Linked DNA regions of Notamacropus eugenii. The protein of the gene in region 4 interacts with the protein of the main gene of each other region in a pairwise test. Links are inferred from orthologs where the notes say so. Each region holds a gene or a part of one and is shown on either strand. Other genes may lie near its edges.

The links.
Region 1: the proteins of CYTH1 (region 4) and ITGB2 interact in a two-hybrid assay, tested with the Homo sapiens proteins (2 studies listed by BioGRID). The link is inferred for Notamacropus eugenii from reciprocal best matches to the Homo sapiens genes CYTH1 and ITGB2.
Region 2: the proteins of CYTH1 (region 4) and CYTIP interact in binary tests that used the Homo sapiens proteins (3 or more experiments, as listed by UniProt). The link is inferred for Notamacropus eugenii from reciprocal best matches to the Homo sapiens genes CYTH1 and CYTIP.
Region 3: the proteins of CYTH1 (region 4) and IPCEF1 interact in binary tests that used the Homo sapiens proteins (3 or more experiments, as listed by UniProt). The link is inferred for Notamacropus eugenii from reciprocal best matches to the Homo sapiens genes CYTH1 and IPCEF1.

Annotation. Positions count from the first base shown.
Region 1 is NC_092873.1:70,161,128-70,168,708, reverse strand, and holds the start of ITGB2 (integrin beta-2), read right to left. Parts: upstream 3,017-7,581; 5' UTR 2,838-3,016; coding exon 2,577-2,837; intron 1,808-2,576; coding exon of another isoform or gene 1,705-1,807; intron 1,104-1,704; coding exon of another isoform or gene 1,093-1,103; coding exon 1,015-1,092; intron 98-1,014; coding exon 1-97.
Region 2 is NC_092876.1:216,345,785-216,352,734, forward strand, and holds the start of CYTIP (cytohesin-interacting protein), read right to left. Parts: upstream 3,008-6,950; 5' UTR 2,340-3,007; coding exon 2,178-2,339; intron 1-2,177. UniProt on the Homo sapiens protein: By its binding to cytohesin-1 (CYTH1), it modifies activation of ARFs by CYTH1 and its precise function may be to sequester CYTH1 in the cytoplasm.
Region 3 is NC_092873.1:247,206,304-247,213,556, forward strand, and holds the start of IPCEF1 (interactor protein for cytohesin exchange factors 1), read right to left. Parts: upstream 3,005-7,253; 5' UTR 2,859-3,004; intron 1-2,858. UniProt on the Homo sapiens protein: Enhances the promotion of guanine-nucleotide exchange by PSCD2 on ARF6 in a concentration-dependent manner.
Region 4 is NC_092873.1:320,236,760-320,243,804, forward strand, and holds the start of CYTH1 (cytohesin-1), read right to left. Parts: upstream 3,006-7,045; 5' UTR 2,809-3,005; coding exon 2,781-2,808; intron 1-2,780. UniProt on the Homo sapiens protein: Promotes guanine-nucleotide exchange on ARF1, ARF5 and ARF6. Promotes the activation of ARF factors through replacement of GDP with GTP.

The DNA.
Region 1 (7,581 bases), about 250 Mb from region 4:
GGGGATCCACGATGTCACTCTCCTGGCAGTCCTTCTGTAGGAGCTGCTGTTTGGTGTCACAGCGAATTGAATCAGGCTCGCCTCTTTCAGCAAAATTCTGGAGAAAGGAACCAAGGAAAAGATGAGAGGGACAAAAAGAGAGGGATACCAGCAGCTGAGCCCAGCTGAAAGGAAGAACTCTGTCCTGGATGTGACCTGGGACCCCAGTGACTGGTACAAGGTAGTGGGGTCATTATTAGCTGGCCCAACCACGCCCCCCCCCCAAAACCAACCAACCAAACAAAACTTGGAACTCAGGGGCCTGGGTCTGGGGTAAGATGAGGGCACAGAGCCATCCTAAAGCCTGGGACAGGGGCCACGCTGAAACATTTGAGGTTGGCCTGTTTTGTCCAAGGCTGGCCCTCTGTGTCCCAGACTGGTCCACTGCATCCAAGGCTAGCCCTCTGTGTCCAAGACTGACCCCTCTGTGTCTAAGACTGGCTCTCTGTGTCCAGGCTTTTCTTTGTTTCCTTACCAAAATTCCTCATGAACAGGAGAAAGGAGGATGTCCACTGGTCTAAACACTGGGGTGGTTTTCCTTCATATTTATCTCCAACTTGGAAACTGAACTTTCCCTTTCACTTCTGTCTCCTTTGCTGGTCAAACCCACCACTAGCTGGGGTTCTGCCAGGCAGTCTCAAGACTTCCTGGCTCAGCCTCCTTGATCCATAGCAGGCCTGCCTGGCATGTTCCATGACTCCACTTCAGAGGGCAGCTTTTTAAGGCTTATCACCTCTAAGTGGGATTATTTGAAATCTTTCTCACTGATCACAGCAAAAGTTTCCGGTCCTTAGGCTGAGGATGTCTCTGGCCACAGCCCGTGAGGACCTGACCCAGAAGGCAGAGGGCCTCGGACCTGTGTAGGCCCTCACAAGCCCAGAAACAGTGGGGTCAGCAGAGAAAGCTGAAGGCAGGACAAGTCTTGGGCTCCCTCCCCTTCTTGCTATTTTTAGTGCTGCCAGAATGATGTCTTACCAGCTTCTTACACCAGGCACAGCCTGGAGCTAACTTGATGCACTCCTGGCAGGTGTTGACTTTGTACTTGGGACATTCCTGGGAAAGAACTGGAACAGAGAACAAGTCATTCAAACTGAAGAGACTTTTCCATCTAGCCCCAACCTGTCCACCTGCCCTCATCCTCTCTTCTCCCATCCCCCAGGTGGGTCTGGGTCAGAAAGGTTGAAGCTGCTCCTGGGGCCATCGATGTAATCACCCTAACCCAACCAACCTAAACCTGGAGCCCAAGAGCCTAGGCCTGGGCCTTCCCCTTCCCCCTCACCCCCCATAAGGACCCTATCCCTGGGAGCATAGAGGGGAGCTTTCTCCAACACTCCCATTTCTGGGTCATTCTGGGAATCTGACTTGATGATTCCTTTGTATTGGTGGTTACAAAGGTTTTGGTTTTTCTTTTTGTTTTAGGGGAGAAGAAGAAAAAATAGGTTTTTGCTAATTAAAAACAATGAAATCAAATCAATGTGTGTTGAGTTGAATGGAACCCCTCTGGTCCTCAGTTTCCCAGCCTGTAATATGAGGGAATAAACTAGACGATCACTAAGCTCTCCTCTGCTGCACTAATCTGCTCAGGTTCTGTGACTGTCAGTCCCTCTCTGTGAGGATTCTTCACAGCTCAAAGCAGGAGATAAAAGAAAGGCCAGTGGAACTCACCTGATGGTGGAATCAGCAGCCCCACCAGGGCGATGACCAGGAAGTTGTAGCAAGACATCACCTCTGAGACTGGGGGCCTAGCCCCTGGCAACTTTGGGCGAGCCTGGCAGGGAGGCAAAAGCGTGGGAGCCGTTGGCAGGGAAACAGCAGGTTCAGGCCCCATCAAGAAGAGAAGGGGAGTTCGTATTTACTCACACAATTATATTTTGGAAGAAACACTGTAATGCCACCATAACGAGGGCATGTGATTCAGGGTCATGAGCACTGGAAGATGACATTAAGATGCCCCAAACTGGACAGAAAATGGGGGAGACCTGCCAGTTTCTATAATGACTTATTCTCCTTTGTGAGGAAAGGAGATCCACACCTTGGGGACTCGCAGCAGCCCCTCACATCTTGAGGTGGGATGTAAGGAACCAGAAATGACAGCAGAAAAGGAGAGGTGACTATGAGAACTGGCCTGGGAGAAGCATGCCCCAGAGAGGAAGTCCAAGCTGGAGTGGCAAGAAGCCTCCGATGGACTGAGTTTCAAGATGGCAAAGAAAGTAGAAGACAGAATGATCAGGAAAAAAAATCCCAGATGGCCTCACTGCCAATACCAGCTCACCCCCCAAATGGGTGGACATTCCTAAGACTTGACTTCTATGTCTGCTTTTTGTACCTGAAGATAATCAAAGTGCACTCCCCTTAAAATAATCTCATCCACAAATGTTTCTGACACAGACTGACCTTTCCCTCAATTTCAAAAACTCTAGTGTTTTTATATAATATCATATTAATTAGTCCTATCACGTATTTTATGCTGAATAAATTTCAAATGTCCTGAGCAATCCCAAGCAAAATTAGCTTTGAATTAATGGCACTGGTAATACTTGATTCAGCTGGGTAGCCAAGCCCAAGCTGAGGGAGAAGAGAAGGAGCTTCTGTGGCAGCTGAGGGACCAGGAAAGTCCCTGTCAAGAGGAAAGGAAGTCCTACCCATAGGAAAGAGGGCTGATGCAGGATTCCATGGAGATGCAACCTCAGTGGTTTCCTCTGTTTCCAACTGATTCCCAAAGAAGCCAAGAGGCTTCTGAGTAGGAAGAGGCCAGGATGGGATGGAGGGAAGGTCTCAGAATAGGTGCTCCAGGCCATGCTGAGTCTGCCTGGATGGGGGAAGCCCCCAGCAAGGAAGGTTGCACAGGAGTGTTGTCCCCAAAGTTGCCCCCGCTATTACCCAGAAGCCACTGTGGTTTATGGAGGTTACCTGTTTGGCACAAGTATGGGCAGGGCTACCCCAGGGGAACACTCCTGGAGCCCAGCAGAGGCTAGGGCCAGAGCAAGGAAAGCTCTGCTTTCTTTAACCATTATACCCAAAGTGGGCCCCCTTCTTTAGACCTTATCCCTCATCTCTTCACCATGACTGATCTGCCAACACCTCAGTGACTGTCTGACTGGGAACTAAGCGCACCCAGGAGAATGAGAATGGGGTAAGGGAAGAGCCAAAGTCAGCAGGGGAGGGGGAAGGGAAGTTCCTGGAGTTCACCATCTTGCTTGGAGATGATTCTTGGCTTTGCCCCCAAAGTCTTCTTCTGGGTCACCCTTGGCATGCAGGCCTGTCTCTGAGCTGGGCATGAGGTACAGGAAGGTAAGCTGACCATGGGTCTCCTTGGTTCAGTTGCTAGAATCCCAGCTTAGCCCAGCCTGCCCTGTGGCTGCTTCCTGGCCCCAGGCCTTGGAGGAGGAGCTGTGACATCTGCTCTGAGTGGTTTTCTGGTGTAGGTGATGGTTTTCTACCAAGTGATCCACACACCCACTCTGGTCTCTCTTTCTGTCAGAACTGGTGCTAGGGCTGGGCTGACTGCGTTTAGCCCTGGGAGTTACTGAGAGGAACAAAAGTGACCTCCAACCAACCAGACACTTACAAGGGTTTCCCCTCTGCTCAGGAGTGGAGAGGCAGCCCAAGATTGAGGCCTTGCCTGGAGCAGTGTGCTGATCAGGCATGCTAAGAACCAGGATTCAGGGGCTCCTGGACCACTTTCTCTCCACAATCATAGGCCCAGAAGCTGGAAGGACTGTACCGTCTGATCCAAGGGGAGAAGAAAACTCAGGCAGTCCAGAGAGAGCCCATCTGGGAGGATCAGGGCATGTTCCAGGCTCATGAGTCAGGGCCTTCTCCCTCCATGCCATTCCCTGGTTACTGCCCCAGCAGTTGCCACCTCCCTCCCGCCCCCCAGTCAGCTAGCCCCCAAGCAAGCAGCAAGTACCTAAAAATGCTTTGTGATTGATGGATTGATTGATTGATTGATTGATGGCACCTACATTTGATGTGAGCTCTCCAGAAAACAGGAAAAGCTTTCTGCCTGAAAAGGATGTGTCTCAGGGTGGCTGTCACCCAAGGCCAACGGGCCCAGGACAGGCAGTGGGGGCAAAAGAGTATCTTTCCCAACCATCTTGCCAGAAGGCAGTCATCTCCTCTGCCTGCCTGTACCCCAGACCTTCAGGGCAAGGCCAAAGGGGGCTCAGCATGGGCCAAGACCAGACAAAAGCATCATGCCTGTTGTTGGTTTGCGGCTCTACTTCCCACCTCCCATCCTGGAAGAAAGGAGGTACTGCCTACCCCAACCTCATGGTGGCCCAACAGGAATCCTACTGTCATCTGTGTCCAGGGAGCAGGCAGGGGAGCTCTGGGCTCAAGGATGCCAGGAAGGATGCTTAGTAAGGTGCCCCAGTGCTAAGTGGGGACAGGTGACAAGCCTCAGCTGGACCTGTGATCTGACAGGACATGTGCACACATGCAAACAAACGTACATGACCAGACTTCCCAGCAAAGATGGCATCACGCACAGAGTACTGAACTTGGGGTGAGGAAGACCCAGTTCACGCCTCATTGCCAGTGTGACCTTGGGTAAGGTACTGTGCCTCAGTTTCCTCATCTGTAAAATGGGTGGGACTTAGTGGCTCTAGCTCTCTGTCTCCCTGGGGCCTCACAAAATCCCATGGCTGGGACACCACAGCACCATTTAACCAGATAGGCTATTTAACCAGACAGAGGACCAGCTCAGCTAGTTCCCGTCAGAGGCAGGATTTGAATCCAGCCCTCTCCCACCCATCTGTTCAGGATGAAGTTATTCCAATTTCATGATGAGTCTCTCTTTTCAAAAGTCATCAACAACCCCCCACCCCCACCCCAGGCCTTAAGAGAAAAAGGCAGAGCACACGCAGCCCTATGAAAGAAGGGTCCAAATCACTAAGAAAAGAACCCCCCAAGAATTCTCACACCCAACAAGATGCTGAAAATGACAAAAGTGAGCTCAAAGACCAGCACACTGGTGCATTGTTGGTGGAGTAGGTGCTGGGTCAACCATTCTAGAAAGCAATTTGGAATGATGCTATAAGAGAAATGACTAAAGTGTCCATCTCCCTTGGCCCAGAGACCCCATGACTAGCCAGCTGTCTTGAAGAGGTTGGACAGAAAGGTTTCATATCCACCAATATACTCCTGATGGTACCACAAGGTTTCCACTTCCTTAAACCGAACTCCTGACATCCCTTCCTCCCTCTGACCTCCCCTCAGGCCATCTCTCCCTCCTCCTCATGCCTCCTAAGTTTGCTCTTCCTCTTCTACCAAGGGCTGGCCCCCACAGCAAGCCCTGGGCTCCAACCAGGCTGCCAGGGCACAGGACACAGTCCTGCTGGCCACCCTCTCCTGGGCCCTCCTTTTTATTTTCCCCTAGCACAAGCCTCCTCTCCTCTGCTGAGGCCCCCCGCTTCTACTCTTACCCTCTCGGCAGCAGGGGACATCCTCGATCCCTCTGCTCCTGGACACTAGGCCACTGACCTATTCTGGGTCTCCTCCCAACTGGCTGACCATGCCCTTCTCGGTCTCTTTTCTATTTGCATTTGCTTGTGGGTTATCTCAGGGACTTGGTGTCAGACGTGGAGGGCCACAGGGGGCTGGTACCCCCAGATATGAGCAGGCCCACTCCCCATGGTGCTCTGGGGTACTGTAGTGACTGAAGACACCCTGAGGTCCTTGGGGTATGTGTAAGGGAGAGACTTTGTGAGTGGATGTGGAGAGGAAAGAGTCTGGTGCTGCTCAGAGGGGCTGGTTTGGGGCTACTTGGGAAGAGGGAGTGGTGGCTAGTCTGAGGGAGACCCACTCTCTCCTAGTGCTTGGCTATAATAAGGCTAGCCTCTGGACAGTGGCAGACATGGTCACATTCCCTCTGCCTTCAAGGATGTTCTTTATTTAGACCCCAGCCCCCCATCCTTTCTACCAATGCCTTCCCAGACTGACTGCCAGAATCATTGAACCAGAGACACAGAACCGAAAAAGTACTCAGAGCTCCTCCCTACCCCACACCGCTGCCCCCACAAGGCGACAGGCCCAGCAGGTACTTGGCCAGCCTCCCCCTAGATCTCCTGGGTCAAGGACCTGACCACCTCCTCCTCAGGGGAGCTGTCCCACGCTTTGCTGCCTCTACTGAAGCCACTTCCTTTGGCTGGAAATCTGCCCTTGCTCCCCTGTGCTCCAAGAGGAAGGCTGGGCAGAGCAAATATGTGACAGCCTTCAGGGGTCTGAGGACAGCTAGCCTGCCCCCAGCCTTTCCAGCTCCTCTGGCCACCTCCTGCAGGGTATGACCTCCAGCCTTCTCATCTCCCTGGGTCTAGAATTGTTGGATCCAAAGCCTCTGAGCCATTCTGGGTCTAGACCCAGGATCTCATAGCAGGACACCTTGCCACAAATGCTGGTTTGGATGCATTTCTAGTCTGTGAATGCCAACCCTCTACTCCAGACTCTAGGAGGCATACATACCACCCTTGGTGTATTACTTGGGGATACTCCTGGGGAGCCAGACCACTCAAGGCCGATATGAGGGAGTGTGCGGAAGGACAGTGCCAACACTCCTGAGCAATGTGGTTTAGCACCTTGCTCACTGGCCCTATGCTGGCCTCATCTAGCCTTGCTTGGGACTCAGCAGCAAAGTTTCTGTGGTGGCCTGTCCTCTCCCCATGGCCCTGGGCTTTGAAGCCAGCCCCACGGATCTGTCCGCTGCTTGTTTTCTCAGGACTGTGGTTGCACACCAAGTCACAAGGGTGGGTGTCCGCCCATTCGCTGTGCTGGGCCATCCTTCTCCCCAGCCCAGCCTCCCCTGAGAGCCTTGGAGGAAGCAGCACCTGACTGAGAGGGTGAGGCCAGCATGGGGGCGGTGGGCAGACCCCAGTTATCTTGGAGAACAGGCTCAGAGGGAGAGGGAATGGGCATTTATTAAGCACCTACTGTATACCAGACACCATGTATGTGCTCTACAACAACTCTGTGAGAAGGGTGCTGTTACTGTCCCTAATTTACACTGAGGAGACTGAGGTAGAGAGCAGGGGAGGAAAGGCTTGTCCTGAGCCCCCAGTAGGAAGCTCCTGAAGCTGGATTTGATCTTCCCAGCTGTGGGAGTGTATAAAGACTAAACAGTAACTGTCTTTTACCCAGGAAGCAGGAGGGACTTGCCCTCCCAGGATTAAAGGGGCCATCCCTTGAGTAACTACTTAAAGAGGACTGTTCACTGAATGGGTGTTGCCTTACTCTGATCACTTGATTAGGCCTTAGCCTAACAGGGTCAGGGTCTTCCATTGCAAATATCTGGTCACTGGATCCAGTGGGGCTCTGGAGGGAACAGTGAGGCTGGTGACCTTGCACAACCCTTCCTCCCTCAAATGACAGCCAGTCATGCCATCATTTCCCTGATGTCACGGTTCTCTTCTAAAATGGACAAACACAACAACAACCCAGCTGTGAAGTGAGTGGCAATCTGTATCAGTGAAGGAACTTCACTGATTTTTCAGTGGGAACTCCAGAGATGTCCCTGGGGGCTCTATGCCTTTCTGTTCTCTAGGCCTA
Region 2 (6,950 bases), on a different chromosome or scaffold from region 4:
GAAGGAGTAAAATGTGGGAGAGTTCCTAGCCCTAATGTCAAAGTTACAAGAAAAGACAAGGTCTACTTTCCAAGTATAACATGATGCTCTAACCAGTCGCCCAACACTGCCATATTATAAGTATCACTGTAGTACGCTTCTCTGTAATAGAACTACAAGTAGAGTGACTCATCCTAATGTAGAAGTGTCAAGCTGCCTTGGTGTCTTCAACTACATTAAAACGTAATTGGGAAGCATGTAAACAAAAGAAATAAAAACACGGTAGAACCTAATGTTAATGTGTGATTTTATATGTATGTATATATATGTGTGTGTATGTATGTATGTATGTATACATGTATACATAGTGTAATGGCCCATATCTATTTGAGTTTGACACCACTGTCCTAGGGTACCAAAAACTCGAGAGCACTGACATCCTTTCAGCAACACAGAAGCACATGAACTTAATACCTAGTTAGCAAGAATAAGTCATTAAAATATGAACTATCACATGGCATGTTTCCTCTCCAGAAGTCGCCTTTATATAGACCTGAGTTTCAGTCTATAAGGGTCAGAATCACAAGATCTCTCTCCCTCTTCTCCCACCCACCCCAATCCCTACACACAGGTTAGCATACCAGGGTCTCTCCCTACACAAGGCCTTGTATCCCAGGATCTCTGATTAACTCTCTACTGCAAATGAATTTATCTTAAAGGGTTTGAGAATTGAAGTCATGCTGCTCAACCTGGGTGACAAAATTATTAGTTATTAACTCTATATCTAATTCTTCTAAAACCAGCATTAATTAAAACATGGGTTATCATTCTGTTTCAATCTATAGTACCTCTTTTGTCAAATACACATGTTGGGAGTTGATTATAAGAATTTTCATCATGTATCCATTAAAGAAAAACAAACTTTTCCAAATTGAGAAAAAACATCTCTCAAAACCAAAGCAAATGACACCTTCTTAAAGATTCCTGAGAAAACAATGGATCAGACAAAGTAGCCCACCAAGTTTAAATCTATTATCTGCTTTGATCTTCCTTAAAACATTACCAAAAAAAGAACAATAACAACAGAATGTAGGAGAGTACACAATTGCTAATATACAATTAAGTGATGATGATTTGTACTGTGAAATGTTTCAGAATATTTTCTACTTTAAAAAGTTCTATCCTGAATCAGGTACAGAACCGAGCTTGTTTTGGATTTAGGTGGGATTTTACTTTACTAGTTTATTAACTAAATATTTATTGTCTATTAAAAGTAGAATACTCTGCTAAGGCCTGGGTGAGATACAAAACTGAGATAAATCACTGGGCTTCACCTCATGGAGTTTCCAGTCTAGTAGGAGTGTATAATACAGACACAAAAAAAGTATAATACATAATAGGTTCATAAAGCAGGTATAAACAAAGTCCTACATGAGATTAGGGTACTAGGGAAAGGAATAGGGAGGAAGAGAGTTGTCATTAATGGCTGGTAGTAATGGAACCAGCAAAGGAACTATGACTGGTTTGTTTTTTAATCTATTTAACAAATAAGGGTTTGGCTTTTTTTTTTTAACAGTGTGAACGATGCAGAATAAACTGACAAATCTCAAAGCGGTTTGGCTGAATAGTTTCAGAATCATCATCTTACCCCAAACGAAACACCTTACCCAGAATCCAGCATGAAAGCTGAAGAACTGTATGTATGATCTGTAAAAGTTTAGCGAACTCTGCAGAAACCAAACCCTAATATGATTAAGATCTTAAAGTGCTTCTTAGTATGGCTACAGATGGGGTAGAGGGGGAGGAAGACAGGGACAGAAACACGCACACACACACGCACACACACACACACACACACACACACACACACACACCAGTAGTAGGGCAGTCACACAGGCTGTGGGGGAGAGAGCAAGAAAGAGCGACATGATCCAATAACCTTAAGGACCTCAGTTCTTCCTGAGCACTTCTCCAGTGAAGGACAGAAATATCTTTGTCACACCTGGCTTTATGTTTTACTAGCATCTCAGTGTACCCAGTGTATCCATTCGCACCCAGTACCCCTGCCTCTCAGCCACACTCCTTTCCAAGTTCTGCCTGAGCATCTCAGCTCATCCTTTTGGAGGGCAGGTGCTGAGTGAGGAGCCCACTGCCTGATGATGGCTTAAATTCCCCAAAGTACAAAACGGTCATCGTACCTGCTTTCGTCCCCGGGGCAAAGTGGCCACTGTGTCTGCCAGCATTTGAATCCTTTTATTATCCACTTGTGGGCTACCTGTGGGCGTAGAGTACACGCTATAAGCTGGGCCTGTGCTGTAGTCCAAATTCTTGTTCTGCTGGATAGGCCTTGGGAAAGACATTGTGCATAAAGGTCACTCCAGCTCACACATCGCTTAGCCTTGCTGGCCAGGGACAATTAAAAGTAGAACCTTCTTGACAAGCAATCAAAAGTAGCAAAGCGGAAAGAGTCTCATGTGACTTCTGTGGTTGGAGGTGCTTGTTACACAAATCCCTTTTTGCAGATCACTCACATTTCTCGGTGCCTTTTTTTTAAGCCCATGAGAGAGCTGAGAGGTAATTTTTGCAATTAAAGAAAATCAGCTTATTTTTTTCACTCTTGGCAACGGCCAGAACTCTTATGCTTTCATGTGCTGTGACAGTTTGTGTTCAAAATACCATCTGCTTTTTTTTTTCAGTGGGGGGGGCACTTTTCTCAAGTTTAATTTGCTAAATGCTGTCACATTTTTTCTCAACCCATTCCCCAGACCTCTCCCCACACCAAGTACACACACATATACACACACTTCACGTTAGCAAAAGTCAAAATGTGTGGTCATGAAGCTCCAGAGACTTTCCGCGAGAATTGCAGGTACTGGTCACGATGTTCTCCCTCTCTTTCCTGTAATGTACTTCCCTCATGGTACGCTCTAGCCCATCAATGCTCATCAAAGACTCATTATACCTTCCCCTTAGACTGTAACCATTCATCAGTCTTTTTGTTATGTTTCTCTTTTACCTAAACAGAAATATTTACCTTAATACAAGGCAGTGAACTAGAAAGGCCCAATTTGGTAGCAGGGTCAACTCCCATCAGCAGATTTTTCTATTTCCTAGAGTCAGCAGGTGTCCAGGACCCAGGGGCCTTGGCAGCAGACAAATAAGATGGCAAGAGTGTATGATCAATTGGTTTGGGGATAGACAGAATTGGCAGAAGAACCAATCTAGGAAAGTAAGTTTGACTATGAGGTTTTCTTTTTCTTTTAATTCTTGGAGGATGTAGAGTGGAATAACTTGGTTGAGTGGCAGAGGGAAGTAAAGGGGTCTTCAATCAATGACTAATCATAACTTGGTGGGGATATAATTGGAAATTAGCTAAGCATATAAATTGCTTTCCACACCTAAAGGGAGACATAAATGAGAGTTGTTAGTGTTACAGAGACTTCCTGACACGTAGGGATTGAAATACACGGTCTCCAAAGTTCCTTCCAACACTGAGATCCCATGGCTGAATTCTGTGATTCTATGAAATAAAAATCAAACATGGAGGAGGAATCTGGTTTAGTAGAAAAACCATTGGACCAGGAGTCAAGAGAGAACTGTGTTCTAGCACTATTAGTCACTAACTAACTATGCACATTGGGTAAGTGATGTAAACTCCCTGGGTCTCAGTTTTCTCATCTGTAATATGGTCAGGTTTGAGCTGGAAAGTGACTACAGCTCCTTCCAAAACTAAAATTCCACAAGTCTGTCTGTCTGTCTGTCTGTCTGTATGTATGTATGTATAAATATAAAATTATGCACTAGACCAAACATGCACCTCAAAGTCACCTGGAATGCTAGTCATAAAATTCAAATAGCATAACACTTCTTTAAACTAGCACTGAGTCCAAATACACTTAATTCAAGAGCAATTCAGTCTTAACAGAGCTTGCTAAATGAAAATAGTAAAATCTTGAGTTGGCCTTTTCTCAAAAAAAAAAAGTGTGCCAACTCAGCTACAAAAGAACACTTTTACAATCTAGTTCCTTATTCCATGTGTAGGAGGTACCCTTCAGGTGCCCCTATCCCAAGCTTTTAGAAGCCTGCTCAAGTTTCCATAGTTAGCATGGGTAGCAGCATCACCAAGAGTGGCAACTGTATTATACTATGAGTTCCCAAACTGTCACAAATACTTAAATTTCAGATGTGATTACACCATTAACATTTCCAGGCCTTAATGTCCTTAACATTTCCAGTCAGATAAAGAAATACTATTCCATTATACCAAGAAAAATCTAACTGTAGAAACTAAGTTTTGAGTTAAATTGTGCCCAAAATGGCAGCAATCCTGCCTCCATGATGTGGCTACGCTACAAAGGGCTGACTTCAGTTGTCAAAATAGATACTCACCTATATGCAGAACTGCGACAAAGCACTTGTGAACCTTAGGCAAAGTTTAAAAATTGTACCACTGGTCTATGTTACTATGCATCTGTAACACAGTCAGCTGGGGTTATACAGAATAAATAACTGCATAGCCTGGGGAGCAGAATGTTCCTGTATTAAAGACATGCAAGTTTATTTTGTTTTTGTTTGTTACACGTACTTATCAGCCAGGTGGCCCAGTTGATAGAGCACCAGGCCTGGAGTCAGATAGACCTGAGTTCAAATATGGCTTCAGATGCTTACTGGCTGTGTGACCCTGGGTGAGTTACTTAAGTCCATTTGCCTCAGTTTCCTCATCTGTAAAATGGGCTAGAAAATAAAATGGCAAAATAATCCAGTATCTTTGTCAAGATGGCAAAGATTTCCCAAATGGGGTCACAAAGAATTGAACATGAGGGAAATGACTGAACACATACCTATCAGAAGTAATGTTGGAAAATGTCCCTTGATTCACCCTTTTTCCCTTCACTTCCACTTCTCCTCCACACACCCCTCACGATGTTCCCAGAGAGTCTGCCTACTCTGACTCCCCTGCCTACACTACATGGCATTATTTCAAGAATGCCGGGGAAAGAACTTTTGGCCTCCACCAGAACTAGTAGGGCGTCTGAAATTCCACCAATGGGAACTAAAGTCAAGCTAATGCTTATGAAAATGTTAAGACTCCTGGAAGGAGAAACACTTTTAAGTCATGATCTGCTTTTTGAGAATTGCAGCCCAAGAGGAATAAAAACCCCACCAGGAATCTTTGGTAGAGAATACTAAGGTGGATAAGTTCAGGGCATCAGCAACTTACTCAAAAAAGAAGGATGCATCACGTGGGTAGCTAGGAGTGGGAGGCGACCCTGGAGGTTAAAATGGACAAAAGCATGAAAAAGGAGAAGTGGAGGTAGGGTAGACGCTAAAAACAAACTTAACTGACATCACTGTTTGCAAAGGGCTGTCTCTAAGATTACTTAAGGAACCATACAAAAGGAAATGACTTCAAGGAGAATTACTTCTCGTGCAAAGTCTGATACCCAAGATTACCAACTTCCTAGTGGTGTCCTAACGCACTGAACTAACTGGAATATGACACATAGAACAGGGAGGGGTACTGAGGAGGAGATTAGCAAAGAATCCTTAGAATCAACATGTAAAAAAAGTTTAAGACTACACTTAATACAATTCTTTTCTTTTCCTAGGAGAAAAAGTCATGAGAGGAGGGTGAAAAGCCAAGAACATTAACAGTTCATCTATGTTTCAATGCAAACTTCTTGTGGGTTCACTGTATTTGTTTAATTAAGGGTTTGGAGGGTCATCTGCACATGAAAATATTTAATAAGCCTGGTTGCCTGAGGTGAAATTCAAGGTTTGCAAAACTGAAACATACAGTACTTGCAAAATGCAAATATGTTCCATTAAATAGGCAGACTTTTCTTAAAACAGTTAGCTTGGGTAAGGCAAGTATAAACACATACTAATTCACAGAAATTTGATAAATTGGTATAATTACTGTGACCATTAGCTAGATACTGCACTCATTGGTCTTAAGTTATGACATATATATGCATATGTGTGTGTGTGTGTGTGTGTGTATAATAGAAAAGTGGATTCAATTTCATCTTATATACCCAATAAATAAGAATTGGAGACAATAGCAAAATAACTCTCTTCTGTTCTGTTGTTGGTACAAGTCTAAGATAGCGCCCCACTGGATTCTTAAGCATCTTAATTTGCCCAAGTCAAAAAAGTCTGGGTAGTCAATGTTGTTGGAAGGAAAGGAATGGAAATAAACCAACAGAGGGAGACTAAATGGCACATTCTCAGATCTCTTTTTAAATCTGTAGTAAGCAGAAAATCTTTATCTGTCCACTTCATGAACTTCTAGTTGAATGAAATAATTATTAACTGTTTCGCTTATTCTATTTACTTTTGCGCCTACATCAGTTTTTGGAAAGAATTCTCTGTGTGTATGTGTGTGGGTGTGTGAGAGCAAAAGAGGAGAGAGATATCTATAAAAGTACTCATGTGTAGAGTGAGTAGGAGTATTTTTGACTTTGGAGTCTATCACTAAGGGTGTTAACCTCAGAGATGTAATAAGCTAGTGTACTTACCTGAGGATGTCTGTATGTAAAGACTCTTGAAGTACAGTGAAAAGTTTCCTATTGCAAATGACACATTAAGCTATAGAAGTATAGTTATTTTACAACTTAGTGGAGAATAGTAAGTGACCATAGTATTATAGAATCTCAGAAATGGAAAGAATCTCAAGGGTCATCTAGCCCAGAACTCATACCTGAACAGAAATCTCCTCTACAATATCACCCAACAAATGATTATCTAACCTCTGCTTGAAAATCTTCAGGGATAGAAAACACCTTACCTCTCAGAGAAGTCCATTTCACTTTGAAGCAACTCTAATAGTTTAGAAATTATTTCTTGTGTTCAAACTAAATCTGCCTCTAAGTAGCTCCTCCTAACTGCTCCTAGTTTTGTCTTCTGGATTAAGATAAAAGAAAACCTAATTCCTCTTTTATGTGACAGTCCTTCAAATATTTGAAGAC
Region 3 (7,253 bases), about 73 Mb from region 4:
ACAGGGAAGTCACTGAAAAGTTTTGAGCAGGACAGTAATGTGATCAGACTTATGCACTGGGAAGATTACTTTGGCATAGATGGGAAGTACATAATTAAAAGAGGAGTCACTGATGGTAGGGAGGCCAATTAGGAGGTACAGAAAAGATATAATAAGACCTTTATTGTTTGTGAGTCCTAATGGCAGCATTACCCCAGTGGTTTTCTTCAACAACAAAAGGAGAAAAAGCCAAGTAAACTCAGGTCCCATTCAGAGTGCTGTTGTCTGATGAGTGTAACAGGAACACTCCTAGGCTCCAAAATGGATGCAAAAGCAGAAGTGAGTTTACAAACAGAGGCCAGGAGGAGTCAAAAAGAAAGCAGACCCAAGCAATGGAGTCATGAAGTAATAGCTTATCTCTCATTGCCCCAGTACGCTGCTGCAGAAAACTTCCTATTTCCACTCTGCTCAGTGGGAGCTTGCTTCATGCAGTGGACACCTGAAATACTTGAAACACGCAACTTCTGCAGAGAAGGCAAGCTTTAGTTCCTGTCATTGAACAGGATACAAAGACTGGGAAAGAAGAAAAGAGAAAGAGAGAAAGCTTAATTCTAAACTCCAGTCCTTTCCTTCCTCACTTGAAATGGGAAGGAACAATTTTATTTTCAAATCTTATTCAATATTTGCATATCAGAAGGCAAGCATTAGGTCTTTTTCTGCCATTTAAATATTTATCCATTATGTATACCATCCCTAGGACAGTGCTAATAAGTGAGAAGTGCTGGGCAAGTAATGAATATGTGTGTGGCATTTGGTGAGTCACTTACACTCCCTGAGCTCCAGTTTCCTTATCTGTAAAAGCAAGGGACTGATCTAGAGAATTTATCTGTAAGATTCCTTCTAGACCCCAAATCCTGTGATTCTCTGGTGTCATAGCAATAACTAAATTGGGAATCACAGCATCTGAGTTTAAGTCCTGGCTTTCCCATTTAACTAGCCCTGTGGACTTGGGGAAAGTTACTTAATTTTTCGGAGCCTCAGTTTCAACGCCTATAAAATAAAGATACTGGATACTATCAGAGGGTTGTTGGGATGACCCAGTGAGCTCTCCACTGGAAATTCACCTTCTAACATGAAAATTGCTGTGCAGATGCAAGGCATTCAAGTCAATTCAACCCAATGAACATTTATTAAGCAGCTGCTACATTTCATAAAATAATTGTATTACACATGAGGGATACAAGACAAATGTAAACAAACAAACAAACAATACAGCATGGCAGGTCCATCCAGAGTTTATCATCTAAGAAGGCTGACAGACCGGTTAAGGTAAAGAAGCAGTCTAGAATGTTCCAACAAAATTTAAGAAGATTTCCCAGAGGAAATAGTTGTGTGAAGGAAGAGAACTTGCGGTTTAGTAAGATGAGCACTGAATTTGGAGTCAAGTGGCTTGAATTTGAAATTCCAGCTCTACTACTTATGCGACCTCAGGCAAGCCACTTGCCTCCTGGGGTCTCAGGGTCCTCATCTATAAAATGGGAGAGTATTAAAGGTTGCTCTTAAAATTGCTCTTAAAGGTACCATAGAGATCAAGCCCTATGATTTCAGCATGTGGAGATGTGGAAGAGGTTGTTCCAAGAATGAGGAAAGGCAGAAGCAGGTGAAGTCAATGCAGAATGGGGCAAGATAGTTCATATTCCAGCTTGCCTGGAACGGACTTCTAAAGGGGAGGATCATGCAATTAGGGCCTTAAAGGGATGTTGGAACCAGGTCTATAGCCAACAGGGAAGTCACTGAAAAGTTTCGAGCAGGACAGTGATATGATCAGACTTCTGCACCGGGAAGATTACTTTGGCATGAATGGGAAGTACATAATAGAAAGAGGAGTCACTGATGGTAGGGAGGGCAATTAGGAGGAGGCTCTTAGAATGGTCCAGAAAGACATAACAAGGGCCTGAATGGGAGTGAAAACGAGACAGATTCCAGAGACACTTCAAAGGTGGCATTGAGAGGACTGGACAACGGGATGTGAGGGAGGAAGGGAGAGAGCAGAGGAAGAATCAAAGATGACTCTGAAGTTGAAAACTTGGGTGATTGGGAAGGTGGTAGGGTCAAAACAGGAAGGGAAGTGGCTAATTAATAATTATAAATACTATTAAGGTCAAAGGTGCTATGTGAAAGGTCACAACTAATGCTTTCCTCTAATAATTAAATGTCCTCCACACAAAGACAAACTAAAGAGGGGCTCCCAAAGCCCCAAGGAAGAAAGTCTACCAAATAAGCAGCACCTTGCCTATGCTTGGCTCTCCTTTCAATCCCTACCATGGTTCTTCAGCATGTTGATTTTGCTTGAAGTGAAATCCCCACCAGCTGTAGGCATCTGGGTAGGGAGAGGAATTTTAACTGCAGGGGGAAGGGAAGGATGGAGAATGGACAGCAAATCAGGCACAAAGAACACACACTCCCTCAGACAGGGATGTCACTTCAAGACTTCCCCCAAATGAACTTTACAGAACACACACAAACGCAGCATTGTGCTGGTCTGAATCAGCCCCACAGTGGATGGTCCAAACAGCTATCAATACTCCATCCATTTCAGAGCAGGAGAGAGACCCTGAGTACACAGCACTGCCCTTTCAAGTGACTGCCTGTGGATAAGCCCCCATTTTAAGGACACCTTCAATACCACCCTTTTATCCTGTCACTGTCATAGTGGGTTTACAAAGAGCTGAGCTGAAGAGCTACTTTCTCAAGATTCACACTTTAGAAGACACCCACAGAAATCAAGACTATCCCTGGGCTGCCCTCAGCTTTGCAGCCCTAATATATACACCCAGCAATTGCTTCCCTTCCATAGACCAAGGAGTCATGTTACTTACATGGAGTAAAGGGGAGAGAGATCCAAGAGCTGACTCAGGTGTCCCCAAATTCAGAAAACTCATAACATAGAGGGCAACAGCTGAGGTTTTCATTCCATTTAAGCAGAAACTACTGGGAAGACTCAGACAACAACAGGGTTCACAAGCAGACCAGAGAATGAAGCTTTTGAAAGAAGAGGAAGTTTCACTGTACTTCCCTAAATTCATCGTTCTTCCTTCTGATGGTTACTAAACCCTTCTCTGATTCCAATACCCCAGGCATAGCTATTCTGGGAAGGCAAGTCCGATCTGTCTCATTCCATTTATTCTAAACATTGCCCAATGTATTCATTTCCAGGACACATGTACAAAACATTGGGCTGCTCTGGTTTCCTGTTTTGGAGGCAAAGGCTCTCTATTTACAGACATGTAGGGAGAACTCCTCTGCCTAACTCCCCTACTTCCATCAGATCCAATTGTCTGATTTTACTAAGCTACCCTTCCCAGATTCAGATTATTTTATGAATTTCCCTCCTTTGCCCCCATTTCTCAAGCATTCATAATGGGCTACCAAATAACATAACTGCAGACTGATAAACAAACAAACAAAAAGAATCCTTTTTCAGTCTATCTTTAGCAACACTCACCAAGATATCTTCCAACTATAGCTCATTTCTTTGACCCACAAGGGCAGGAAAAATGACAAGTGGCAAGCTAAAAATGGACAAATCCTTCCCTTTAAGCACTCCTACAAGGGCTCTCTCATTTCACTGGAGCCCGCCCTCTTAGCACTCTCCTCTGGGTTCACTGGTTTGCACCTTCTCAGGAAAAAACAAAACAAAACAAAACACCATCTCATGTTTCTACTCAATGGTTTCAAATTTAAAAAATTAAGCCAAACAACAGTTAAGACTAGAGCTCTACTTGTAGAGGTAGCTAGACTTTATTCAATTCTGTTTAAAATCTACACCTGCCAAGCAAAATGCTGACGTTAGCGAAGGCTCTTCCAATGGTTTAATTAGAAATATAAAGGCATTGGGAACAAGTCAGAGTTTTTCAAGCCCAGTCCAACCAGCCCTCTCTTCTCTGCTTCGCTTTCAAAGCAACCATGGCCAGCAAAATGGAAAATGACCGGTAAGAAGAAATCAGGGACCGTCACATCTATTGCCTCAAATAGCAGCACTTCATGTGAAAAGATCTCCATGTTATCATAACATTCAGTACAAAAATGGTCATAACTATAAGCCCTGGTCTCCCAAATCTGAGCTTCTTCCCCCAAATTCTCATGCTCTCTGCTCCCTCCATTGGTCATGTGACTATGGTGTACGGGCATTTCTCCACATCTGCAACGTCCACCAACCTCAAAAGGCCTACTTCTTTCTCATTAAGAGGTTTGCTTAGACTAGGCATGATTGGGGAATCTGTAGCCTCAAGGCAACATGTGGCTTCTAGGTCCTTGGGTATGACCTTTTGACTGAGTCTGAGTTTTATGGAACAAATCCTTTTAATAAGGGGATTTGTTCTGTGAAGTTTGGATTTGGTCAAAGGGCCTCACCTTGAGGTCACAGGTTCCCCACTCCTGGGACAGCAGTGCCGGATTACGTGTCCTGGCATGGAAACAGTGGGGTGTGAGAGGAAAAGGATAGTTCCGCGCACAAAGATAAATAATCAAAATAATCCAGTTCACTAGAGTCCTTCCTAATAAAATGAAGCCTTCACAGTAGCTGGCATCACATGAAGAAACTAATGAATTACTTGATTTTTACTTCAGCTGACAGGAGATTTCAGAAGCAAACAGGCATTGTGCTCTCTAAGCTGTGTCTGTATTCTTGAGGCCCATAGATGATAAAAGGTTTTGAGACCCTCACGTGTCACTCACTACTCTTAAGTCCCTCTCAGCCCTAAGAGAAGCTAAATGTTACAGGAAAGCTGCTTTTAAAAAAAAGAAATGGACAGAAAAGGAATTTAAAATGTAAATTAAATTGATGTCTGGTCATTCCTATCACCTTTAGATAATGATTGAACCTCACTGGTTTTCTGAACTCTGGTCTCTGGACATTTATTTCACAAGAAAGGTAAATTTATGGAGAAGTGAAAAAAGATTTGTGAATATACAGATATGGGCTGAGAACAAAACAAAATGATTTCTGGGAGCACTTAATTTGGGTGAGCATCCATTTGCGAGGGACAATCCTCCCTCAGTTTCTCCTGAATGAGAAGCTCCATTCCTGCTCTATGGAAAGGTAGTACAGGGTTCTGAGAGATGGAGATAATGAGAAGAAATACCAGTAACACACATTTCATTTTCATTTTAGTCTGCTTTCCTCTATTCTTAAAATTTTGAATTTAGCAAACAAATAAAATGAGCATTTTCATATACAAAATAGAACAGAAAAAAACAATTGTATATAAAGCCACAAATCCCTATTACATGCAATTTGCTTTATACATTAAAAAAATTAATATATAACTTTCAAAGCTGTTTTGTTGGTATGTGTTTCCTTCTGGCCTCCTATTCTCTTCTGTGCCTTTTTAAAATGTTTCATTTACCCTCTTTTCTTTTCTTTTTTTTTTTTTGAACAATTCTATTATTTACAACCTCCTTTCCCAAATCCCCCCTCAAAAAAAAAAAAAACAAAAAAAGAAGGAAAAGACTCATAATAAATATGCATAGCCAAGAAAAACAAATCCCTACATTCGTCATGTTCAACAATGTATGGTCTCATTCTGAACTGTGAATCTATTATCTCTTTGTCAGGAGGTAAGTAGCATGCTTCATCATGCATCCACTCTAATATCTGGTCGATACTGCATTGACAAACCTCTTAAGTCCTTCCACTGTTTTTCTTTATAGTGGCTGTGTAACTTGTTCTCTAAATTCTGCTCACTCCCCTCTGCCAAAATTCATGCAAGTCTTCTCAGTTGCCTTGGAAATCATCCCTTTCATCATTTCATCATACAGTATATGTAACAAGGGCTGGCCCCCACATGTAGCAGGGAGGTGTCATTGTGTGGCTCAAAGCAAGGTAGAATAGACATCTCTAGCCTCTCTTCCACCCACCCTTCTCCAAGGAAGACTTTATTTCCTACCAAGAGGAGAAATAGGCAGTTGAGACCAAAAGGCTGGCCATTCTGCTTTCCTCAAAAAGGTACCAGGCTAGAATTATATTTATCTGATCTCTTAAATATCATTAGTCTAGGGCAGGGTTTCTTAAACTTTTTCCATCTGAGACCACTTTTATGCATTTTGGAAGCCTTTGTTGGTGTTGCCTGGCCTAAGGATATGTGCAGTGGAAAGTGCGCATGCTTTGTGTTCAGAACCAAGGCTGTAGTGAAGTTTCCACTGCAACACAGGCAAGCACTGCCAGAAACACCTCAGATTCATTAAATGTTGGTCATTGTGCATTCAGAAACCTTTTCCCATTGCCAATTTTTTCTCGCCTCCATATGGAGTCTCAACCCACAGTTTAAGAAGCACTGCTTCTTAATATGGCTTTCAAGTTCAAGCTAAACTTTTGATTACTGTTCATTAATTGGGGGGAAAGAGGACCCAAGCTTTTTATCCAGTGCTTGACTCCTTTCCAACCAAATACCAGTGCCACAACAAGCATACATAAGAAATAACAAAAAACCTTATTTATCCAAGTCTATAGCAGGACATATATCAAAGAAAGTATACATACGAAAATATATACCAGACAATACATAATGGAGGAGCTCTCCTGTTGAGAGGGAGGCAACTCAACTTAACTGAAAAAGAGTGTCCCAGATCTTACCCAAGGGGAAAAGATCCTGAAGTCTATAGTATAACAAGATGGGACAAGGACATGATGAAAACTGCTAGCTCCTCTTATGTCAGCCTCTTCCTGGAGTCTTTCCCTGAAGCAATCTGAAGCAGCATGTGGCATCATCTATCTTCTCTCTCAAAGCTGGAAGCCAGAAGTGCCTGAAGCCATTGTAGAGACCAAAGAGCCTACAATAAGTGTGACTAAAGAACACACAAAGATGGAGCCTTAGAAGTGTTCTTCAGGACACAAGAGGAAGTCAGAGTCCTGTGATTTGGCATTCCATGATGATATAGGACTCCTTGAAACATGCTCCAGGACAAGTGGCTCAACTCTTGGTAGTTAAGCTACAGGATCAAAGCTCCTCAGGTGTTTCATAGGAAGGGCAACTTTCTCAGTTGAACCAGGTTAGTTTCCTATCTCTGAGGTCACAGGTTTTGAGACAAGCATCTGCCATTACCTCAGCCTATTGTTGAAACAAAAAACACTCCTCTAGAGGAGGAGAAGCCTAGGAAGCAGCTACAGAGAAAGCCACAACCCAAGAGGAAGAACATTTTGACCCATTGTGGTTACACCTGGTTGTAACTCTTCCTCTTGCTCATTCTCATTTCCATTGTGAAAGAGTTAAGTC
Region 4 (7,045 bases):
TCTAGCTTAACTATTTCCTGCAACACCATCTTTCTCACCTTCTCCATCATATTCAAAAATGTGAGATTATCTTTGACACTGATCACCCAAATCCAGTTATCAGTTCTGCCTCCATACCAGCTATCACATTCAACTCTTCCTCTCTATTCCCACTATACTACCTAAGCAGGAATAATAAGAGGCAGCATCTCATGCTACAATGAAAAAAGCACTGTATTTAAAGACAGTTGCAATCAGGATTAAAACCCCACTTCATTTACTTAGGAGCTATGTGGCCATGGACAAGTCATTTAACTTGCCTGGTCCTTACATGCTCTACCTTTAAAATAAACTCCTACACCTCAAGAATAATATAGTTGGAGAAGACCTCTGAGGTTGTCTAGGCACGATATTTTGGGGAATAAATCCAGCTAAGGATACAGAAAAAAAGGATTAAGTAAATAAGAAAAGAACTAAAAAAAGAGCAATTTCATGAAAACCCAGAGAGGAGCAGTCAGGAGAAGAGGGTGGTCAATAGTGTCAAATGTACAGAGAGATCAAGAAGAATGAAGACTGAGAAAAGGCAATTAATTTGGCGTATAAAATCAGTGAGGTCTTTGGAAAGTGCAATTTCAGTTTAGTGATGATGTCTAAATGTAGATTGTAAAATGTCTAGAAAAGAGTGAGTGGAGGAGTTTCAATTTCAACTGAGATAGCTACTTGAATGGGAGGCAGACCAATCAACTTCCACATACCTACTCCAGCAAAACTGTGAAGTTTTCAACAGCCTAAATAATGATCAAGTAATCCATTAAGAAACTTAGTAAGTAACTTCTTCAACCCCAGAACTGCACAAAAAGTAATGAAATACAGTAATGAAATCACAGGACCTATCCTTATGTTAATACCATCCCTGGATGTAGTGTCTTGTAAAAAAAGAAAGAAGAAAAGAAAAAAGGAAAAATGGCTTTATCAAATTAGGCAAAGTACATGAGGTTGTAGGGATGATAGTAGTAGCAATAATAATAGTAGAAGTAGCAATAGCAGCAGCAGAAGTAGCCATTACACCCATATACTTGGGCTGTTAACAATAGCCACCACAGGTCCTCCTGCATCCCTTTTCATACTGTTACTACACTGTTTCTGTTTCATACTGTTACTGTTATATACCAAGTACTTAGATCTGGCCATGTCACATCCTGGTTAATAAATATTTAATTTATTTTTAAAAATCTAAACTCTCAACTGCCTATAAAGTTAAATTGAAACTTCTTGGCTAACATTCATGACCCTCAAAAGGGTCACCTTACTTTTCCAGACTTATTTCATGTTATTCCCCTCCATGTACTTGATAGCTCAGTCAAAGCAGACTCAGTCCTCCAATCACGCCTCTGTGTCTCTGATCACATTGTTTCCTTTGCTTGAAATGTCTTTCTGTTTCCACCTACTTCTCAAATTCCTATATGTTCATTAAACCCCAACTCAAACGTCACTTGTCCATGAAGCTTTCCCTGATCCCTTGTCAGTAACAGTCTTCCCCTTCATATAATATTTTGTTCAGCAACTATTTAATGTACCCATATAATACTGTGTATTAGTTATCTGAATTTGTCTTATTCCCCCTACTAAACTATAAACTTTAAGGATGGGCATAACGTCTAATCAAAGTTTTGTACCTCCCCAGTTCCTAGCACAAAGTGTATTCTTGATAAATTTTTTTAAATGAATGAGCCAAAAAACAAATGAGTTTGCCATTCACAGGTCAAGAACATACGTTTTCTTTACCTTATCCTGGATATGGAACAACATAAAAAGGAAAGGCATTTTTATTACAGCCTCCATCTCTAATTGCAAAACTTCACTATATGACTATAAGGTTAGATGTAGTCTTCCTCCCAAAATAAAACATATTGTTTCACACAAGCCAGTGTAAATTAATTTTGATTGTAATTTAAAGATAAATTATAATATCAAAACTCTACTACCTACTCAAAGTTCCATGAACATCATTTTAATAAAAACAAAACATAACTTTAAACACACTGTCTCTCAGACACACTTTTCATAGAAAATCTACTGGAATCCAAAAATTACAGGAATATCTTTATATTACTTATAATTTCACTATTTACTGTGAGGGTGGAAAAAGTAATCCTATCACATCTACCTATCAGGCTTCAAAATAATCTGAAAGTAATTTTGTAAAAAGAAGAAAGAAGGCCAAAATACTAGGTACTTTTTTCATCATGTTTAATGAATAAAAATATCAGTGATTTTTAGTCCTAACACAGAATATCCGGATCCCAACTTGTTAATGTCAAAAACATTATGATTGATAAATACTTTCTTGACCTTGGTCAAAAAACTAATCCAGCCCAGCTTCATAACCTCTATAATTTCTGACCAAGTGCCAATTTAGAAAAAGGAGTTGAAGGTTCTGAGAAAAAGTTAATCCCCTTAATTAAGTAGTATGAGCACTGAGAGTTTAACTTCAAAGAAAATCATTTGATTTGTAATAATACACTTGTGAAAAAGGAACAGCTAACAGGGACAACTAATTTACCCTTTTTCTAAAAGAGGAGGTGAAGATAAATGAAACAAACCCTATACTATATTTTTTCCTTTCACGTGGAAACCCTGCAGTAAGAAGAAACCGTAGCCTGGTTAATTCTCAACCCCACCCAAAAAAGGCAAAAGGCCTAGTAATTCTGTCTTCAAGCTTCACATTATTAGTCAACATACATACAGAAATTTTCCGTCCTATAATAGAAGTTAAGTTTTGAGTATGATATTGAACTCACCTTCCTCTTCCTCTGTTTTAAGTACCATTTTGTCCAATTGGATAAAATATGAAGGTCTCAGTCAAGTTTATTCCTCTCAATTGATTTCTTCTGGTAAAAAAAAAAATGTAACCAAAGAGAAAGCTTTCCAAACTAAGTAAGATTTTGTGGGCCAGAAATACCTGTAAATCTGTCTAGCCACTAAGACAGCTCAGAGCTGCTTCCTGAACTGAAAGCTACAAATACACAGAGCCAATCAGTAAACAGCCAGAAAAGGAGTGTCATTCCCTGTTGAATCACCACCACCTAGTTCCTGTCAAGCTGAAGTACCTTCCTATAAAGAAAGTTAACTCTTTTAGCACCTAGAGTTTGTCTAACAGGGTGACAAATTGTTAGAGCAGTTCAACTCTCTTCACAAACACAAGCAAATCAGATTTAACCACTAGAATTGCCTGCTCTCTTATCCTTTAGCCCCAATTCTTAGATTACAACAGGAAAAAGCCCTGTCTTCTCATAATTAGATTATAGTTTAGTTCAAAAGAGGATGACTAGTCAGAGTTCATGACATCACAGGTCAAATAGGTAAGATTTTACAAGCCAATTAAAGTTCAAAACCTTGCATATATAGTAAGCTCAATAAATGGATGGTATGAACACGCAAAACACAAATCTAAAGCAAAATGCCAAACATGATGAGTTCTTCCTTAATCATCAAGCCACTTTTTCTAATGTACCTACTCAGCAACTTTTTTCTTGTACAACCCCTATCAAGTCCAATGTGACTCTCATATTGATGGAGATGAAAACCCAATCTTTTTCAAGGGGCGTGACAGTGTTGGCAAGACATCAAAGACTTTTACCAGTCCACCTTCAGGGATTCATCCTTTGGGTGCTCCTGACTTCCATCTTTGAGAAATAAGATGAAAGAGTCCAATCCCGTGAAGTGGGTTACTACTCTAGAGTTACTACTCTAGAGATTCAGGGGAGTATTCCCCTTGGGGGAGATCTCAATAAGAGAGTTCTTTCATTCTGTACTGCCTGGTATATATTCTTATATGTAGACCTTCTCTGATTTCTGTTTGCCACGATTTGGATAAATAGGTTTATTTGTTACGTGTATTCATTGTGGAACTAGTATTAAGTGGAAAAGTAGTCAAGTCTTGGATACAAAGTTTGGGGTCCCCCTCCTTCCAGAAATGATAAAGCGATCAAAAGTTAGATAGAACCTATCTCTTAGATGAACATTATTTAAGGAAGCACATAGATATATTTCTGGGCCAGAACTCTCTCACTTTCATTGGGGGTAAGTCAGTTCAACTAAGAGAAGGTTATGGATCTCACCCAAAGGGAATACTCCCTGAAGTCTCTAGAGTAGCAAGCTGGGAATAGGGACTACCTCCTCCTTTCATGTCTTCCCAGAGTCTTTTCCTTTAGCAACCTGAACTTCTTCCATCTTCTCTAAGGAGAGCAGAGTAGTGACCTCTGGCCCCAACTTCCTACGTCCCCTCATACCAGGAATGAAAGTCTCCTATGGAGAAGGGTGGGGATGAAAGAGGCTAGAGATATCTATTCTGCCTCCCTCAGCCATACAAGGATTGATTTCCCATTCTCTTCCTTCCAACATTATCTTTTTTTTTTCTTAATTATTGCTTTGGTTTCCTGATTAGTCTTCCTGTTTTATTCAGATTTATCCTTTTCCCTATCTATCCTCCATGTAGCTGCCAATAGTGATATTTATATGATGTGAGTTTGGCAATGTCACTCTCCATTCTGTAAATTCCAGTGGCTCTCTAATGCCTCTAGGTTTAGTGCCTGGCACATAGGAGGCATTTAATAAACGTTTGCTGACTCGACTGTGGTATCAAATATAGATGCCTTTATTTGCATTTGAAGCCCTTGATGGCCTGATTCCAGCTTCCTTTCCAGTCTTATTGTAACACTGTTCCCCTTCACATGCTCTGTGGTCCTGCCAAATAGACCTTGCTGTTCTGCACACATGACATTCCAACTCCTATATGCATGCTGGCACTACTACCTCCTCTCCTCTGCCTCCTGAAATCCCTGGCTTTCTTCATGGTTTAGCTCAAACACCACTCCCTATATAAAGCCTTTCCTAATCCAGTCCAACTGCTGCTCTTTCCCCTGCTCTCAAAAAATTACCTTGACAGTATTTTACATATCCTTAAATGCATACATGCTGATTCCCCCAATTAAATGTTAAGTTCTTTGTGGGCAGGGACTGTTTGTCTTTGTACTTCTAGTGCCTAGCACAGTGATTAGCACACAAGAGCTGATTAATAAATTCCTGATTAATTTATCTTGGTGATTTTGTTTGTACCACCTCCTGTGGTCAAAATGGACTTCTACTGATCCCTTACTCCCCCCAGTTAATCTCCATAGGCTGAAATACATCCTTCCCTTCAAGCTACAATTCATGTACTTTCTCCTTGATGAAGACTTCCCTAACTCTATCCAATTGATTCCAAATTTTTCATATCACTTTGCCTGAAAAATTCCTTTGTACTTTTCACATTCTTACATCTCCATTACTGATATCACCCTAGTCCCCATATAACATCTTAAGTACCTTGAGAAGAGAATCTGTGTCACTGGTATCTTCATATCCCCAGCATAATCTTTTGCATATCCTAAATGCTTGATAAAAGTTGATCTAATAGAATGTTTATGAAGCATACATATATATAATATATTTACATATATTGTACATCTGAGAACTCCTCCACCAATGTAGATCAGCAACTTGTTTACAATTTCATAGTCTTAGAGAGTGATCTCAGGCACTGAGAGGTAAAGTGACTTGCCCATGGTAACACAGCATGGGTCAGAGTAAGGTCTTTGAACCCCTGTCTTCCTGACTCCCAAGCTGGCTTTCTATCTACTAGACCTCTGAGGTGAGGTATTTACAACTGAGAATTTTGTCAAGAGAATGTATGCTTCACAGATAGGTTGCAAATGGCCCTAAGTTCTCTTCCAGCTATAAGTCTGGTTCTAGGAGTTATACTTTAATATTTCAGTGAATCTATATCCTCTTAAATGCAGGTATTCTCCTCTGATGATATGGGTGGATTTTACTCACAGAATCTAGTAGAAGCCTTCCTAGTAACATTACAAAGGATACCAGTCCAGTTCTCAATATCTTATCTACTGCTCCTTTCTGACCATATATTTCCTGGATGATTTTTATGCCACTTCTTATGCACTCGTCAATTTTGGTAATATGCTGACATCAAATTATGCACATATTTTTTTTTCTATTGCCCTCTGGGTCTCCCAAAGTTTTAAGTTTCTCCCCCAACAAGTTTCATCTTATATACATGCTAAGATTCCTTGACAGAAGCAAAAACAGACAACTCTGTCCAATAATGTCTGATTATTAATGTCAGGCAAGAAATAAAGCTGAAGAGATATGCTTGCTAAAAATACTCACCAGAGTCATAGAGGATATCCATATGTTCAAATAGAAGAAAAAATTCACAATAAGTGATGAGGTCTTCAGCTGTTCTTGTTTGTGGATGACACTGTACTGATAAAATAAAGCCACAGAGCACTACAAAGCCTCACTAATAAGATCCATAACTCATTCAAAAGAGTTTAGCCTAACAAACCACAGAAGAAAATCCAAGTAGATGAAAAATGCTTTGTGCCCAGACTATCATATGGAATTGGATATATAACTCATTGAGTTAGTCCCTCATTATATTTATTGTGAAGAAAAAATGTAGAGAGACAATGAGATGGTTCCAGAATTAAATAAAAGAAACAAAAGTTGGCTGGAATTTCATTTAGGAAACTGAATCAGAAACTTATCTTTGTAAAAAAAAATTGTTATTTTTGTTGATAACTTTTGTTTTTAAGTCACAATCATTTCTCAATATTGCATCCCTGTCCTACCCAATAAGCCCTCCTTTATAACAAATGTGTTTTTAAAGGGGGAAAAAGTAGTTCAGCAAAAACTAATTAACATATCCACTACGTCTGACAACATATGCAATATTCTATACTTATAGTCCCTTCTTATCAACTCTTTTCCAGGACCAACTCTGGTTTAGACCAACACTGTTTCTTTTTCTGTTTATTCAGCATATATTGTTATTGTCATAATATACATATCCTTTTCTTGGTTCTGTTTTCTTCTCTCTGCATTTGGTCTTCTTCGGCAACGAAGAAAGAATACACACGCATCAGCTTATACAAGTTTCCCCCATGCTTTTCCATTTTTTTCATATACATCTTTTCTTAACATATAAGTAACATTTAATTACACC